3 linked regions of the Yarrowia lipolytica genome follow. The protein of the gene in region 2 purifies or fractionates together with the protein of the main gene of each other region. This does not show direct contact. Links are inferred from orthologs where the notes say so. Each region holds a gene or a part of one and is shown on either strand. Other genes may lie near its edges. The genes, in order: YALI1_C06870g, YALI1_F38756g and YALI1_E19494g.

The links.
Region 1: the proteins of YALI1_F38756g (region 2) and YALI1_C06870g purify together in Saccharomyces cerevisiae (affinity purification with western blotting; 3 studies listed by BioGRID, with this or other methods). This does not show direct contact. The link is inferred for Yarrowia lipolytica from reciprocal best matches to the Saccharomyces cerevisiae genes MOT1 and TAF6.
Region 3: the proteins of YALI1_F38756g (region 2) and YALI1_E19494g purify together in Saccharomyces cerevisiae (affinity purification with western blotting; 3 studies listed by BioGRID, with this or other methods). This does not show direct contact. The link is inferred for Yarrowia lipolytica from reciprocal best matches to the Saccharomyces cerevisiae genes MOT1 and NCB2.

Annotation. Positions count from the first base shown.
Region 1 is NC_090772.1:684,330-689,196, forward strand, and holds YALI1_C06870g (uncharacterized protein), read right to left. Parts: upstream 2,757-4,867; coding exon 1,308-2,756; downstream 1-1,307. Other genes in the region: YALI1_C06917g (uncharacterized protein), read right to left, coding at 4,529-4,867.
Region 2 is NC_090775.1:3,868,839-3,877,814, forward strand, and holds YALI1_F38756g (uncharacterized protein), read right to left. Parts: upstream 6,861-8,976; coding exon 1,221-6,860; downstream 1-1,220. Other genes in the region: YALI1_F38684g (uncharacterized protein), read left to right, coding at 1-957; YALI1_F38776g (uncharacterized protein), read left to right, coding at 8,807-8,976. UniProt on the Saccharomyces cerevisiae protein: Regulates transcription in association with TATA binding protein (TBP). Removes TBP from the TATA box via its C-terminal ATPase activity. Both transcription activation and repression require its ATPase activity.
Region 3 is NC_090774.1:1,946,843-1,951,033, reverse strand, and holds YALI1_E19494g (uncharacterized protein), read right to left. Parts: upstream 1,611-4,191; coding exon 1,562-1,610; intron 1,476-1,561; coding exon 1,105-1,475; downstream 1-1,104. Other genes in the region: YALI1_E19508g (uncharacterized protein), read right to left, coding at 1-204; YALI1_E19488g (uncharacterized protein), read right to left, coding at 1,607-2,224; YALI1_E19483g (uncharacterized protein), read left to right, coding at 2,697-4,191. UniProt on the Saccharomyces cerevisiae protein: Component of the NC2 complex which represses RNA polymerase II transcription through binding to SPT15/TBP and thereby inhibiting the assembly of the preinitiation complex.

The sequences.
Region 1 (4,867 bases), on a different chromosome or scaffold from region 2:
TTCTTCTTGTCGGTCGTTCCAAGGCAACAACTGGGGGTGTAGAAACACCAGTCTCAGGTTTTTGGATTATGAGCGCACCTATCAGACCTTGCTACAACACCTGGCAACACTGTTCAGTGCTACACTGGCGCAACAGGTCCAATGGGCACAGCACCCTTAGCTTGTATCCTTTTGACAGTCCCTCCACAGTTGAGCTCTCAAAGACAAGAGACACCAGGTACAACACTTGACAAGGGTGCAAAACCACTCAATATCCAAGCAGCTCATAGCGGCAGAAGGTGGTGCATTGTGTTGAACCATCATCTCACTCGAAATATCTCCATGTCTGTCTCGTTAGTAGATATAGAATGATTCTGGTCAACGCTCACTTCGTTTGAGCTCAGCAAAGTACCATGCGATGAAGAAATCAGTAAGTACGACACCAGACCAGAACCAGAGAGCACTATCAGTTGTATCTCTTGCTGCTCTTCTATGCCCATGCCAATTGGTTTAACGCCATTGTAAGACGATGGGAAGACACCAGATGCAATTGTGAGACATGAATACTCCCAAAAGAGCCATAAAAGCGCCATAAAAGAGCCCATGTCTATCACCACTCTTGCTTGCAGGTGCGCAGAAAGTATACCCCGTCTAAGAGAGGTTTGCAGGTATACATAATTGCTGGCAAACAACAAGCCACTAATTAGTTTGTCCAAGTGCTCACCTGCTCCTCGCTCACCACCCTGATCCGATACTGTAGCAACCATCGACTCAGGAAGTTGAGAGCAAGATCGAAGACAGGTAACCAGAATGGGCGGGGGTCCCTTCATCAATCTCACCGAGCTGAAACAGTCACGTGCTCTATGATCGTATTTTGGCTAGATCTGGTCGACAATGTTGAAACAAGTTTAGATAACACTGTTCTCACCGTTTATAAGTCAAGAATGTACTGGTAGCTTCGTAGAGAAGACAAAAAAGCCTTCTACACAGTATCAAGGACTATGCTTTAGTTGGTATGTACAGTAGCTAGAGTCCAAATACGATTTCGACCAACTGGCTTCCTCTTACTCACATGCTGAACTACAAGTACGATATCATGAAATTACGACATTCGGGTCTACAAAACCACTAGACCATCTCATCAAGGTTATAATGCTCGTAGCACGATCATACAGTACAATCCCTAGGAACTCACAGATAGTCGTATACACCCATCCTTCATATTCCTCCACCGTGATCATATAAAAAATACATTCAGAACTATCTATACACTGGGGTCCCCCTTTTCCATGCGCGTGCAGTTCTCTCTCTTGCTCGCTATCCACCCATTACTCCACCTGCTTACCCTCGAAATCCACCAATCCATGAACAACCTGCTGTGAATCGTCCAGCTTCTCAATCAGTTCATACACCTTGTCTCCCACCAGCTCCTTGCATCGATCAATCTCCTGCTCAGTGAGCTCTTGATCGGGGTAGATGGCCTGGCCCTTGATCTGTCGCAGAGCCGAAATCAAACACTTGTTGAGCTGCTCCAGCTCCAAAGTAGAGTCCGACGACGACTTCAACAGCCGGTTGTAAAGTGTATCACTCCACAGCTTCAGGTTGCCTACAATGACCACACGAACGGCCTCATTACCAAGCGCCTGAATGCCCTGGAGAGCGCCATAGAGAGTGGGTATCGGCTTGGTGGGGTCCATGAATGCCTTGAGTAGCGTTCGGATGGCTCTGGGCTTGAGAGAAGCGTAGATCTCGTTGTATTTGTCGCAGATTCGTGCCAGAAGAGATGCAGCAAAGTCACGAATCGAGTACTGAGAAATGGTCACCTGCGAGTCCTCCACAATGTCCTCATGGCCGGGCTTGGGACCAATCTTCTTCGCGAGAATCAAAGTCAGCACAGAGGGCATCAGTGAGTGAATGTAGGGGTCCATGAACAGCGTGGGGTTAGTCAGCAGTGCGTCAATTACCTGCAGCATAGTGTAGAGCACGGGCAGGTTCTTGAGGTTATGTGTGACTTTTTCGGCCACAAACTGCACAAAGTAGGGCACCAACTGGTGGAATCCGGGGTCGTTTCGCAGAGAAGAAAGAGCAGCCGCATGTTGCTTGACCGCAGCCTCCTTCTCGTCTCCGGTAGCAGTGACAACCACTTCCGAGCCGTCCATAAGTGCACCCACCACACGGTCAAAGTACAGCTGCAGCTCCTTGGACAGCACATGTTTGACGAGAGGCTTCACCTTGACGTCCGACGAGCCGTTGATGGTGGCGATCGAGTTGTTGGTGGTCTGGGCGCCTCTCAGATCAACACTCATGGCTCTGATGTCGCTGGCCAGGGGGTTTTGTGGGATGGCAGGTTGCACTCCATCGATCGCCACCCAGTGAGCTGTCAGTGATGTGGCACGAGGCACCTTAGGCAGCGGTTGGTTGATGAGCCGTTCAAAGTCCACCTCATCGTCATCCACATAGTACAGCGTTTGTCCTGGTCCGGTGATGGCTTCTCTGTAAGACACGCTTTTTTCGTTGGCCACGCCCTCGTAGCCGTAAAGGGGCTCCACGTTGAGCGCTCGAAGAGCCTCGCCCACGTCGGAGGTCCCCAGAGTCGTTCGTTTCGAGTGTCGCATGAACTTGAGCGCCTGTTCAATCACCTCGTGGATTCGGTATTCCACGTCCATGGCAAGCGTTTTGGCCACGTCATCGGGCAGATTGGAGATGCCCAGAGTCTCGGCCACGTCTTTGACCGTGTCACTGGGAGACCACAGGGTGTGGGAAAAGTTGATGGACATGTTGTGTGGGTTGCAAGTGGTGATATTGACCTTGTGATGATGGAGGTTGGAATTAGAGTTTGGAAAGTGTTGATGGGGAGTTTGTCTTCTGCGATATCGGGGGGTTGTGAGAGCGGTATATCGACGGTAAGTAGATGGAATCAGCTAAGGAAGTTTGTGAGTTGCTCGTCAAAAGAAATATCTGTCAAAAAAGAGAATTAAAGAGTGGTTATGAGGGCGTTGTATAAGGTAGTCATGGAACCTTAATTTTTGCACGAAGAGTTGGTTTTGGGGTAGCCAAAAGTCCAGGAGTAATGGCTCCTATTGTAATATTAGACATGTATTTGACTTTCACCAGAATTAAAATACTCTCCTTTTTAATTTCATTTAAATCTGTTGAAAATGGAGCAAGAACAATGCACTCTTTCGAGCTATTGTTATACTTGAAAGTTTCAACAATAGCCTCTGAAATAGTTGAAATATTAACCTCCTGTCAAGTAAGTAGAGAGTGTCAATATCTCTTGAAATTCTGGTCATATCACATTTCTACATAGATAAATCTGTAAAACTAACTACCATTGATGTATATTTTTAGTTCCTGGATCTATAAGTCCACCACTGCCTTTTCTACACTCATTTCAAATGCCACTATCAAGGTTCAATGGGCTGCTCTATCGAAATCATCAGGTGTTTCAAACATGACGAAATCTTCATCAATTTGAATTCTGAAAAATACAGTCAGTTTTTACCACTCTTTTATTCCCATCGCACTTTTCTCTTTTTTTCTCTCACTCCTCCTCCCCCCCACAGCAACTACCCCTATTCCCCTCCACGCATGGTCATGCACTCCACTCTTAAACCCGCACATCATCACTCCACACACACTTGACGCCGACTACAACGATGGGTTCGTGTTTCAGCAAGAGCGAGCCCGCGTCCACGTCGGGCAGGACCGCAGGACGAGCACCACCAGCGGCTAAGCCTGCCAAACCAGCAAAGACGGAAAACATCCCACTCAAGAAACAACCGCCCAAACAGCCAACAAACACATACAACTCGCCAGGACACACTCTGGGAGGCACAGCCGAAACGCTGGACGCCAAGGAGGCCGCCGCACGCGCCGCAGAGGCCCGGGCCCAGGGCCAGAATAAGGGTGGCAAACTCAGTCAGCAGCTGGCCAAGGAGAAGGCTAAGAACCGGACCGAATTGATGAAGACAGAGAAAGTCGAGGAGCCATTGATTTATGATTAGTGGGCGACTCATGTGATTACTGTGATTCCCGAGATTCTGCAGTGTTGCCATTGTGTTGTCTGCGGCTACATTGTCTCCACGATGCTTTCTTGTGGAGAGATGCTCAACGACTCAACAATAACAACAAGGGGCTAGGACGACTCATGTGGATGGTTACGCGCCATCTGAGACTAGAAGGATTATATAGGAATGTATTATTTTAACGATTGGTGGGGTGCAATGGTGAAGGGTGGTGATAACGGGGTTCAGGTTGAAACATCGTTATACAACGAGAGCATGAGAAAAGATCCAGCTCCTGAGAGATCTCCAAATGAAAACTCAGCAACAGTCCAATAGTGTGTACACCATGACACCATAGCCAAGTCTGACTGAGAACTAATGGTTACTCCTTAGTTATTGTACCGTAGATACTGGAACAAGTGGAATACTTTCTGCCTCTCAACCGCTTCATTCGTCAATCGTTATAATATATACATCTTCCTACTCGTACATGGACCATTCCATACTCGGTCCTACAAAGTTTGACCCCCCCTTGGTATCGTCTACACCTGATACCTAGCGCCCTTAACCAAACCACTCACCAGAAGCTCCGACAACTCATGATGAGCCAGTTTCACCGCCCGCTCACTGGTACCCTCAATGAGAATAAACAGCTTGGGTTCATCCTTGGGTCCGGGAATACGACCAGGAGGATAGTACTCGCCCTTAGCAGTGATACTGCAACCAGTGTTGGCAATAACACGACTGACAGAAGTGTTACTACTGGCTCTGTATCGAGCCTGCTGAGGGAAGTCGTTGATCTGCAGCGTCGTGTGGTAAGCAGTTGTGGGGGATTTGCTGTCTGGAGGAGTAACCACAATCACAGGCTTGGGAATGATATC
Region 2 (8,976 bases):
GCTGGACCCCCCAACTCGGGCAAAACCTCCCTGGCTAAGATTTTGTTAGCCTATGCTACAAAATGTGATCGAAAGCCCATATATATTTCTTTGGATCCTACTTCGGTGAACCTGGGACCTCCTGGAGGAGTGCATGCTGTCCAAATTACAGATCTGCTAGATGTGGAAACATATGGAGGATTCGGATCATCGGAAATTTCAGGCCCTCAGAAACTACAGCCTCTTATTTTGCTCTCCAAGTACTTTGGACTTGAGAAGACTACGGATAACTTCAAGCTCTTCAAGCGGTCTGTGGCTCAGCTAGCAGTTCCCGTCCTGTCCAAACTTGCACACGACGTTGAGGCGCAAAAGTCTGGTCTCATCATCGACACTCCTCGAGTACCCGGCAACCAAAACAAAACAATCGAAGTTAACCTGCTAACGGACGTGGTGAGCGACTTTGGAGTCAACGTCATTGTCGTTATTGGCAACGATCGACTTTATGCAGACCTCATGAAGAAATACCCAGTGGGAGCCTCCGGTCCCACAGTAGTTAAGGTACCAGCATTTGCTTGCATGGATGACGATGAGAGCTACAACCGAGATGCCCAGCAACAGGAAATTCAGCAGTATTTTTATGGAGATGCTAAAGATATGAAACTTGGTCCACGAATCGTCACTGTCGATTTCTCTACTCTCCACGTTTACAAGATCAAGCCTTCCACACAGTTTGACGATGACAAGGCGGATATGCTGGAGAGGGTCGCAGAGGCCAACATTCTACCAAACACAGTACTGACGGTCATGCACGCTGTTCCTGGCTCGTCCGAAAAAGAGATTCTCGACTCAGAGGTCCAAGGTTACCTTCACGTGACGGAGGTGGACGAGGAGAAGAACAAGGTGAAGATTCTGACTCCTGTTCCTGGACGACTACCCTCCCAGGTCATGCTTCTTGGTGATACACGATACCATGAGTAATACGATAGATATATAATGTAGATAATGTATTTGTATATATGGGCCCATCGGTGCTGTAGATATAGACTCTTTTGTGTTAACTGTAGAATGATCTCACTCATTCAACACATTACTCGTACAGTATAGGCAAAAAGAGGCTACTTGTAGTGTCACAGTGGGCTTCTGTAATGTAAAGGCATTCTCCTACTGTCACGACACGTAAAATCATTAAATAATCATTAATAGTACATATATAGCTAATATACATCTCCTTACAATGCCCTTTACTTGAGAGACTGGATGAAGTTGTCCAGGTTGTACTCCTCGGTGTACTCTCCTTCGTCCCACAACTCGCCGAGATCGGCCAAAGCAGGGTTCTTCTTGCCAAGCGATCCAGTGGCATCCAAACCGGCGTCCTCGGCGTTTGCATCCGCCGCTGCGGTTCCGTTACCAGCCGCTGCCACGTCGTCGACATTAAAGAGATCAAGCAGTTGATCAGTGTCCATGGAAGAGAGACCGGAGTTCTGCTGGTTGATGACCGTGGACGCAATGTTGAGCTTGAACTTTTGCAGACCCATAATCTTCTCCTCAAGAGTGTTTCGGGTGATGAGTCGGTAGACGTTGACCACCTTCTTCTGGCCGATTCGATGGGCTCGGTCCATGGCCTGCAGATCGTTCATTGGGTTCCAGTCGTGTTCCACAAAGATGACGGTATCAGCACCAGTCAGGTTGAGGCCCAAGCCACCCACATGGGTGGTAAGAAGCAAAACATCGATGGAAGGATCAGCGTTGAACTTCTGGACAATATCGTGTCGATGTCGAGCTTCAGTAGATCCGTCCAGTCGCATAAACGTAACTGTAGGCATATACTTCTTAAAGAGCTCGTTCTCAACAATGTCCAGCATGTCCTTGAGCTGACAGAAAATGAGAGCTCGGTGCTGAGAAATAACAGGGACATCGCCTTCAGAATGTTGCTTCTTGCTGGTGCCATTCTTAGCCTCAGCTCCCTTGGTCTCTCCGATACCACAATCCAACAAAAGTCGCTGAAGAGCCTGCAGCTTGGGAGCATTGTTGATGGATTTGACACCTGTAGCTCCTCCAAACTGCTTCATGATCTTGCTAAACTTTGGATGCCGCTCATTAAGAACCAGAGCAGGGTGGTTGCACAGCTTTCGCATGTACTGTAGAGCCTGGAACACGTGCTGCTTGGACTCGACCGTCTCTGTGGTGATTTCGTTTTCGACCACAGACTTTTGCTTCTTGGCGAAGTCGCCGTACAGCTCTCGCTGTAGCTCGGATAGTTCGCAGTAGTAGTCCTGGATGATCTTAGGGGGCAGATCAGACAGCACGTCCTCCTTGAGACGTCGCAGCAGGAAGGGCAAAACCTGCTTATGCAGAGCCTCCAAAGCCAGAGCTCCCGCTTCCTGCTCCTTGGAAGAAGACTTGGAGTTTCTAGAAGAAGCAATAGGCTTGGCAAACCGCTCATTGAAAACCTTCTCGGTACCCAGGAAACCGGGCATGAGGAAGTCGAACAACGACCACAACTCAAGAACATTGTTCTGGATGGGAGTACCTGACAGAATCAGACGGTGGTTGGCGTGGATCTTTTTAACGCTCTGGGTGAGTCTGGACTGGGGGTTCTTGATGATATGGCCCTCGTCAAGAACACAGTAGTTGTATTGCTGTTTGGTGAAGACAGCATTGTCGTTTCGACAGATATCGTAGGAAGTGACCACAATATCGTACTTGTGCAGAGAGTCGGCATGCAGGTATCGCTGAGAGGGATGTCCAGCGTACATGAGAACAGACAGGAAGGGGGCATAGGTGTTGAGCTCGTGTTTCCAATGTCCAATGAGGGTGGGGGGACAGACAATGAGCGAAGGGAGAGCTCTGACTTGCGCCATTTCGCTCTTGAGGCCGTCCAGAGAGGCAGCGTCCGTGTTTCCGGCGCTCTCCAGCTCCTTGTACTTGCCCTCCAGCTCCTTGTACTTTTCAGCACGCAGATAATGATCAGACGACACAATACAAATGGTCTGCAGAGTCTTTCCGAGACCCATATCGTCACACAGAATACCGTGAAGTTGATACTTGTTGAGGAAGGCCAGCCAGTTGACTCCGTCTTGCTGATACTTTCGCAGCGTTGCCTTAATGCTGACAGGCAGAGGGAAGGGTTTGATCTTGGACACGTCCAGCATCTGCTGCAGGAACTCTCGCTCCTTGTCTCGACCCTCAAGCAGTTCCTTGGACATGCCTTCGGGGTCCGGGATACCACTTTCGAGAGGAACCAGCTTGACGATCTGGGCAAAAGTGGTGGTGGCAATCAGACGCACGTCCTGATCGGCATCTGACATACGACCCAGAATAGGAACAATCAAAAACACAACGTAGGGAAGAACATCGTTGCCCATGATGGCAGCGAGGTGGTAGATGCACTCGACAGCTCCCTGGCGTCTGTGGAGAGACAGAGGGTCGTTGAGCATAGGCAGGACGATTCGAACCAGCTCCGGAATGGCCTGAAGAGGAAGAGTGGCACAAATGGTGGCAAAACACTTCGCAGCAGCGTATCGCACCACGGCAAACTTGCTTCCCAGGTGGGTGAAGACGCTGGGCAGAATCTCCATAATCTTCGAATGCAAGTTAGTAGACAGACAGGGCACCAGAGCTCGGATAATACTCAGAGAGTCAACCACAGACTGGCCAGAGGTGTCTTCTGGAGCATAGACACTGTCCGAGTTGAGCTCCACCTTGAGAGGGTCGAACATGATGGACTCAAGCTTTTTGCACTTTTCAAACACATGGTCTCCAAACTCGACCAACATGCCCTGAAGAGCTGTCTGGGCACCCCCTCGCTTGATTCTTGCTGCCTTGACTTCTCGCTGGTGAGCAATGACGTCAGCAGGGTCGGTCTTGGCTTCCTCCTTTCGCAGGGACAGAATGTTAGACTCCACCTTTTCGTTGAAGTGAAATTCAGGTGTCTCGGAGGTGTCGACACACAGGAAGGCACACAGGTTCTTGATGATCTTGTCGGTGGCTCCGGTCTTGCCAGCAGCTCCAAACAAATCAACCAGATGCACAATCGTTGCAGCAGCTCGATCCTGCAAGATGACATGCTCCTCACCCTTGATGGAGTCCATTAGAGCTCTGATGACTCCGTTGAGCTTGGGAGGAAGGCCGCCAATATGAATAACGGCAGATGCCAACGTGCTCTGGATAGACACATCTCTCTGGGTCTTCGCCTCGTGCGCTTCCTCCATGGCCTGAGAAAGAGCCAGGAGCGAGTCCTCCATGAGCTGGCCGGAAGAAAGTCGAGCGGTAGTGGAAATAGTCTTTCTGAGCTTCGGCACGTCCACGTCAATCAGCTTCTGAGCCTGCTCCAAAGAAAAGGCCTCGGGTCCAGCGTCAGCTTCTCCCTGTACCAGAATAGGCAGCTGAGGAAGCTTGGCAGCAGTGCTGGCTCCTCCAGCGTCAGCGAAGACTCGCAGAGCAGAAAGAGCCTGCGTTCGAACAGCCTTGAGGAAAGGTGTAATGTCGGCGTACATGGCAGCAGGAGGAGGAGCAACAAGGAGCTCAGAAACAGAGGGAAGAAACAGCTTGGCAGAAGGCCCACATTCGTCAAAGATAAGAGCAGCAACTAATCGCTGGGTGGAGTACTTAGATCGAGCATACTTGTCCAGACGAGGTTGGAGACCTTGCAGAAGAGACTCGTCTCCAAGTCGAAGTAGCTGGGCAAATGCACCGGCAGACGTAACTCTGATTCGCAGGAAAACATCGTAAGGAACAATACTGATATCTCCAAGCAAAATGGGGTTATCAATGTTGACCACCAGTTGCTGACTGCCCCAATCGGTCTCCTTGTCAGTTGTCGTCTTTCGCTTGGTGTTCTTATCGACAGAGTAAATACCTCCACTGGGCTTGACAAACAGAGAGGTTTCCATCTTGTGAGAATGACGAGCCACACCAATGGGAGTCATAAGTAGAGATAAATAGCCCACAAATGGGAATTTGGTGAGTTCTTCGCTGGGAGCAGCAGCCAGCAGGGCCGTCCAAAGCTCGTGTGCCAGAGCTGTCACCGAAGGGTTCTGCTCAACCAAAAGAACCTGAAACACGAGTCTCAACAGGTGAGTGGTCACCCAGGGAGTCTTCCCATCGCCCTTACCAACACCTAAAAGAGTCAACATGGTCGTCAAGACGCTCTTTCGCACATTAGTGATGCTGTGTCGGAAGAAAGGATACAGTCTGGGGACCAGGTTTCTGAAGTCTTGACTAGGGTCCATTTCGGCATTGATCTGGAGAACATCCAAAACCCGAGGAATGGCGCACAACTTGCCGAGGAGATCCATCACGTTACCGATAGATGCACTCAGATCGTCTCTGAGATCGGTTAAACACTCCCAAAGCACGCTCATGAGCTCATTGATACGATCAGGTCTTAGAGTGATGTACTCTGAGATGACGGGGATTAGTGTGGCGGCCGAAACTGCCTGCACGTCATCATCAGACTCTCTGAGGCCACTCAGAACGGCTTCATAGAGATCGTCGAGATAGGCCTTGTCTTTGAACAGCAGGTCAGTTCGCACAGACACCAGATATCTCAGTCCAAGCATTCCTCCGTGTCGAGCTTCCCATACTGTCATGGAACCAGGTTTGTTATACTTTTGTAGCACCAGTCCATGCAAAACAGTGAAGGTAGGTCTGATCGTCTTCTCGTCCATATGCAACAGAAGAGCACCAAGGGTCTGGCCAGAGGACTCTCGAACAGGAGCAACGACCTGGTCACCCACGTAATCGCCAAATCTGTCCAGAGCAAAGATACAGCACAGTCTACATGCCAAATCTTCGATCCACTGCCGGTTTCGAGCGTCATTCTCCTCCACGGAGGAACCCCGTACCCGTCCAGCGCCCTTTCCGTGCACCTTAACCACTTCTCTCAGTCCCAGTGCGGCTCCATGTCGAGTCTCCCAGTTATCGTCGAACAGGTCGACCATTAGAAGTTCACAAAGACCCTCAAAGGGCCAAACTTTGCCTGCTCCGAGCTGAACAATGGGGGAAATGCCTTCAACCAGTAATTTGCCATCGTTTTCAGAGGTGTGAATGCCTCCAGGGGTGTCATCTTTGATAACAGTCTTTCCTCCATCCTCCTTCTTGCCACTGACGTCCACAATCCGCACTTTGTTCGCATTGTTGCCCTTTTGTAACTTGGCTCGTCTCTTCGCCATGGCTCTCAGACGAGCTGAAGAGTGTCCGTCTGCCGGAGGAGTGGGGGTGGTTTCTGTCTTGACCTCGGTCTTGATTTCTGGAGTCTCCACTTTGACCTTCTCCACCACATTGGCTTCCACCTTGACATCCGACTCGTCCAGAAGACCGTCCTCCATGTACTGACCTGCCAAGCCAAGCCGGCTATTTAACGTCTTCTTTTGCTTCTGAAGACGCTCAATGGGATCCAGGTTGGCGTACATGTCCTCATACTCTTTTCCTCCGCTTCCCAGCAGTTTGCCTCCAAACTGGATGACCTTCTCCAGATCAAATGTCTCGAAATTGAGCATGCCATCTGATAGCAGAGAAATGTCGAGGTTGGCTGAAGCCGATTCAGCACCATCCTCGGTTTTGACCTCACTCTTGACAGCCAAGTTATCAGCCAAAGCAGCATCGGAAGCCTCCTCCGCATTGGGGTCCCATTGAGGACAGTTGGCTACAATGCCTCCAATGGCACGAGCCGCCGCAATTCGTGTGTCCCATTTTTTCGACTTTAGAAACGGGAAAACTCGCCCGAGTAGATTGAATAGTTCTTCGGGATGGCTCTTTTGAACATCTGCCAGCTGGTCAGCCGCAGTATTACGCACAAATGCAGATGAGCCTGTGTCTAGTAGCAATACAAGACGATCTAATCGAGACATCTGGGTTAGTAAGCACAATACATGAGACATGTGATGTGTCTGCAGGGACCAATTGAGACAGACATGCGGCAAAAAAAGACGACTCAATTCTGCCTGTCAATCTCTCCTATCGCTCATCTTCTTTTGTTCGTCATCTTGGTCGATAGGTCTACCCTCTGATAGACTCAAAATTAAGGCTCCATTGACACCAACCAACGTGCCTTGAGCAGAACACTCCACTTGTCTCCCACACACTTCTTCCGAGAACTCACCTATAATCACAATCTCTGTTGTTGCGTCCTAAATCACACTGAATCGTCGTTGCACGCTGGTATCGTTTCGTCTGGTCGAAATATTCTTGGTTCTCGCGTTAGTACTCAAGTCATTTAGAGTTCCCACCCACGATACGCGTAGTAATCGTGGGACAGGTGTATCCAGCCAATTTCTCTCGGTTTTCCGTTGCTGATGGGCTGTATGCCTCTTTAAACCGCCTTAGAATCTTCCCCGCCGCATTTTTCGCCAATACTCACACCTTGACCGACAGTTTTGCCGAAATCCAATTTTTGCAAACTGGCGGCCCCCATCGTTAAGTACACTACTTTTATATGCGTAACGACGGCGCCAATAGAGTTCTAGGGAAAAGTTTGATATATTTTCTGGGCCGGGTAACCCCATCAAGATTGCGCTTACGTAACCCAATGGCTGTTTTTTAGAACCGTACTAAAACGAAAGCAGTTGGAGCAACACCCTGTCCAATCATACGGCGAGCATTTGTTCATGGTTTCCTGTCGGAAGTGCGCAACAATGATTTTTTGTCGACGCCACAGGATTTCTTGCTCGAGACTCCGAATACACATACATTGGTCGATTTGAGAGTGCATGTGTGCTGCGGGCCCTCCATTGAAGGTGTTACCCGGCAGATAATCCCGTCTGAGCCGACCCAGCCCACTAATTTGCTTTACTAAGGAGCTTTACGCGGGACCTTGAGCTGCGACATGATGATGCTACAACGGCTGGCAGAAAAAAAGAGCCGCCTTTAGGGTTCCAATTGAGCTGAACAATCAGAAACATGATAGCCGGAAATTACAAGTACAAGTATGAGTCTTACAAAGAAGGGAGTTATTTGGTGTGGAAATTTTTTTTGTGCCAAGTCGCCTAATACCATTTACAGCTACCATAGCTATAACCAGTTTTTGTTCCTTGCTCTAGAGAGAACGTCTGCGTAGCGTACTTACTTGGTCGTACGCAGCTCACTCCGTTTATTACTCCACCAAGTCCCAAGCGCTCCGCCCGCGATTATGCAAAATTAAAGTGCTGCGTGAGCGAGATGGAAACCATGGAACAACGTGATGCGCGGTGGGTGAGGGGTGAGGAATTCGGAAAATGTGGTCATCTAGAGTATACTTGATAGTCGGATTGGGTAAGTCATGGCTTACAGGTGGTCGACGAGTGTTCAGTCACCTCTTGTTTTCTCCCTGTCTCTATGCTATGGCTCACGTTTGGCACGTTCACGTTATCGACTAGATTAGCTATACTGTATACTGCTGTGACATGGTGTGCACTGGTGGTGCACAGGGAACCAGACAATGAGTCGACCTCCAGGAGTTTATTCACAAGCGTATAAGAGTGTTGTCGGATTGTCTTGATGGCCAGAATCTATTCCGGCATGCCTGGTCCAGATTGCACTTTTCTGCGGTGATATACACCTATCAGTTCTAGACCCTGTCCATCAAACCTGTGAGCAATAAACGCTCGAATAAAGCACATCGCTTTTTACAAGTGGTGAAAAATTTCAAGTGTGAGCTTATTTGGCAGGGTCAGGAAAAAAAGCCTAAAATGTGTCATTGGGAGCAGTAGCAATTAGTCATAGTAAGAGAGCATCGAGCATATAAAAGACTTTGGGGTCCCCCAGTTTAGTCTCTCTTTTTTTCTTTCTTCTTCTGACAGATAGATTCTCATCCACCTCTCCTCTAACACAACCAAGAATCGCTAAAAAAATGTGCGCAACAGATAACGCCCCCGCCGCTAACGCTGCTCCTGAGAAGCCCTCCAACGTTGGAGTCGAGGTCGGTCACACCGGCGAGCAGACTAATCCTTACGGAGCCAACCCCGCCGATTTCCTTTCTAACGTGTCCAAGTTCCAGCTCATCGAGTCCACTCTGCGAGA
Region 3 (4,191 bases), on a different chromosome or scaffold from region 2:
AATGTCCAGACAGCTGTGGATGAAGCCGGGCATCTTGTCCACCTCCTTGAGCTGGGCCTCGGCCTGCTTGATGGTGTTGGGGTTGCCGTTGGTGGTGGCCTCGAAGCACGAGTACAGCGCGTTTGTGTCCATCTTGCTGTATTTGTCGTTCTCAGATAGCGTGGACACTCGGTGCAATGTAATGCTACCTTTTTTTTTTTCCATACCTCCCTATATTTTGATGGGTTACGTTAACCTTAGCGTTGAAGGTAGGGTAACGCATCAAGGGAAATTCAATGTAGGCTGCTGGGGCACTTTTGGTTTGGCTGTAGAAACATATAATACAATGCACAGGGCGCGAGAGCTGTATCGTCGGATACACACGAGTCTGGCATTTTATTTTTTACTTTCAAAAAATAGATTTGGACTCCTGTACCCTTTGTTATACGTGCATTTTCGCGGTCACTGCTTGCTGTTGCCCAAGAAGTTGCAATAGTTTTTCAGAAAAGAAACCAAAGTCGCAGACACAGACATGTGCTAAAATGGCTGGTTGAAAAGAGCTACAAACGCTTGAGAGGTGTCAGAGGGGCTGTTGGTACTGTGCTTATATGTACAGGGTCCAATCTGTGAAAATATCGATGCTCGCCGAGTTGTAGCGTGTCTCAGATCGAGGCCAAAAACAATGTTTTTGTCAAGTAAATCTCAACTGTAAACTCAACTATTTGTTCATCAGCCGAGTTTTTTTGGAAATAAATGCAGAAGAAAAAAATATTTTCCCTTTTTTGTTTTTTCAAAAAAAAAAAAAAAAAAAAAAAAAAAGGACTGGTCTTGGTGAAATCCAATCCAATCCAATCCAAAAGGTGCCTATGCAAATCAAATATGATACATCTATATACACCCGCGGAACCGGCTCGGCCGCTACTCTAGATCACCATGCCAAAAGATGTTGACATAGAGCCAACACCACAGTATCAATTAGTACGTTTCGTGGATGCAACTGTCGTCACATCGACCACACGTAGACTATCCTGTATGTAGCACACATTGTCCTAACCAGCCCATTTATCCCATTATCCCATTATCCAACCGTTTGGTGTCGCCACCTCATTGTCCCCCTCCCCCACCCTATGCGTTGTTGTTGAGCTTGCTTCTGGCGGCAGCAAACATTTCCTCCTGCTTTCTCAACAGCTCCTCCTCGGTCATGCCCGACTGCTCCAGCTTTCCAACCTTCTTCTCCCGCGACTTGAGCGCCTCCTTGTGCTCCACAATCAGGTCCTTGATGGGCTCAATGTAGTCTATGAATCCCAGCTCCTGCAGAGCCTTGATGACATGTTCCGGCGCAATCGTCTTCTTGCTCTCCTTCTCGGCAATCTCGTTGCTTTCGGTGCTCAGCATCATGATGAACTCGATGCAGCACTCGATCAACACGTCGCGGGTGTCCTTGGCAAACGCCAGGTCTGACGGAATGATTTCGCTCACTATCTTCTGCACCGTGGCTGGGTTAATAACCGACCCACAACTTTCAACCCCCCACAAACAGAAACACAAACACAAACACAACCCCCCCTCCGGCTCTACTCACCCTTGGGCAACGAAAGGTCGTCATTCCCTGAAGTTTCTCTGTCGCTCATTTCACTGCGTGTATGTTGTGGTAAACGTGTGGTTGTGCCGTGGTGGACTCGTCGCTCTTACGCGCCTTGTATGCTTTATGCATGTTTATATATTTTTCGAGCTCCCAAAGATAGAGTTCAAGAGTCGTAAACAGTGATAGCCACCCTACAGGAAAGTGCAAGTCGCACTGGGAGAACGGCGCCACCGATCCAGCCAGGTCACGTGATCCTACATACCCCCCCCAGAGCCACGCCCCAAGAATTGTATTTCCCACTCTTAATCTGTTGATTTTGGTGCCTTTGGGCAACCAACCCTGTTCCCTCAAAACACGTACAAGTTTGTCAGTCAATTCATTCTCATCCATCATCCAACTACTACCCCGTTTAAGGTTCCAGAATGAGCTTAAAATGCGGGAACTCAAAGAGAAACCTTTTTTTTTTGGGCCCGTCACGTGATGGCAAACACTCGATGAGACGTAGCACAGACTCAATGAGACGTAGCTCAGACTCAATGAGACGTCGCAGAGCAATTTTGTGGGGGCGGGGAGGGAGGGGGGAGACCAAGGAGGGAACAGCCGGCTGTTGGCGACAAGAACCGACTTTGGGTTGTTCTGTTGCACTCCGAACCACAACATTGGTGACAATGAACAAGCTCAGTTTAGACCATCGGGGTTACATAGCTGTTAAAACGCCAACAAATACTTGCAAGGGGTCCAGTTTTTCGGCTAGTGAGTAAACCGGGGGTGTTTATCACGACTATCGGACCGGTTTGGTCCAAAGTGTGGTATTTCGTTGAGCATTTGGAGACAAACAGATTATGTGTTGTCGGTGACTAACCCTAGTGCATGAGTCAATCTGGTATTGGTGGGATCGTTATGGGCGTGTAGCTACTGTACAGCTCCTGTACAATGGTGTACTATGGTTGAGTTGGTTTGTTGCGACCGTCTCGTCTTGGAGGATTTACACGACAACTAAATGTTTCCCATTCCGGGCACAGGTCAAAATCGAACCAACGCCGCCTGCCAACTCCTCTACCGTTCGACAGCGCGCCAGTTCGATTCCCCGTTGTGATGCTAAAGTAACCTCGTTTACGGTGGATCATCGAGAATGACATATAGTGGCAAATACGAGGAGATATTTTGTGTCGAGCACGTTTCGGGTCGACACCGAAGAGTCGGAACCCCCCAAAACTCCCCGTTTCCACGCTTCCCCGCAACTCCAACGCTCTCTGCTCTGTTCTTCTACCACACCAGATGTACTTGTTACAATACAAGTCTCGGTCAATTTTCATGCAGAAAAAAAATTCAGAGTTTAAATTATTTTTTCCTGCACTTGGACAACCATCAGGCAAGCCAGATAATTCCACCACAACTCACACACATCATGTCGGAACAGCTGTCTCGATTCGATCCCGCTCTCACGCAGTACGCCAGCGTCACAAGTGCGCTTAACCAGCACAAGATCCGTGTCCAGGCGGTCTCAGGCGCCAATGCCAGTCTCCAGCCCGTGGAGTTTGTGTTGGAGAAGGGCACCACTGTGACTGCTCTCAAGTGGACCAAGAACGTTGGCGAGGGCGCCTCGTCGTCTTCTCGACGCAAGAAGACCAAGACCCAGGACTCGGCGGCTGCTTCTTCCGAGGAATATCTAGTTTCTGTGGGAACCAACCGGGGCGACATTCTCACTTTTTCTCCCGCCCAGGCCAAGCTTGTGTCTGCTCTCCGAGGCGGCCATTCTCTGCCTGTGGCCGACTTTGACGTCGACGCCAACTCCGGCACCACCTACTCGCTTGACAACCGAGGTCTTTTGAACGTGTGGAAGGGCTCTTCTGTGGAACGATCTGTGGACAAGACCGGCGCCAAGCTGGTGGCCGTTCTGCCCTCGGGTAACGTGCTGCTGGCCACCCACAACATCGCCGTCTACGGCCCCCAGGGCGATGACTCGTCGGCCGTCTCGTTTGACTCGGCTCTGTTTGATATCCCCTCGCACACCTCTACTGTCACCGAGCTGTGTGTTCGAGGTGACCTTGTTGCTGCCGTTGCTGGCGACCGTCTCATCAACGTGGTTAACGTGGCTCAGAAGAAAATTGTGCTGGTGCTCATGGCCGAGTCGGGTGCCCACCGTGTCTCCATGAACGGCGACATTCTCACCGCCCTGACAGAGGGAGGAGCCGCCGAGTTCTTCCAGCTCGCCCAGACTAACGGATCCACCCCCAACAGCAAGAAGGGAAAGCGCAAGAGCATTGTCACCAAGTCCTCGTTTGCATCGCTGGACCTGGAGCGGGGCACTAAGGCTGCCGGCCAGAACCTCGTCATCGACGCCATCGCGCTCACCGCCAAGGAGGCCTACTACTCGTACACCGAGCGGGCCCAGGCCCAGTTTGCACACGTGACTCTGGCTGCTCTGGAGACCGAGCCCACCATGACGGTGGTGCACGACCCCAAAAACGCCGCAAACCACTACACCGAGGAGCGAACTGTGCCCGTGTCCTACAACGAGGAGGACGCTATCATTGCTGCTGGAGACGACTATTCACAGCTGGAGAACGGTGTAGGAAGCGACGAGTCCGATGACGACGAGTCTGCCACTCTGGCCGAAAAGATGG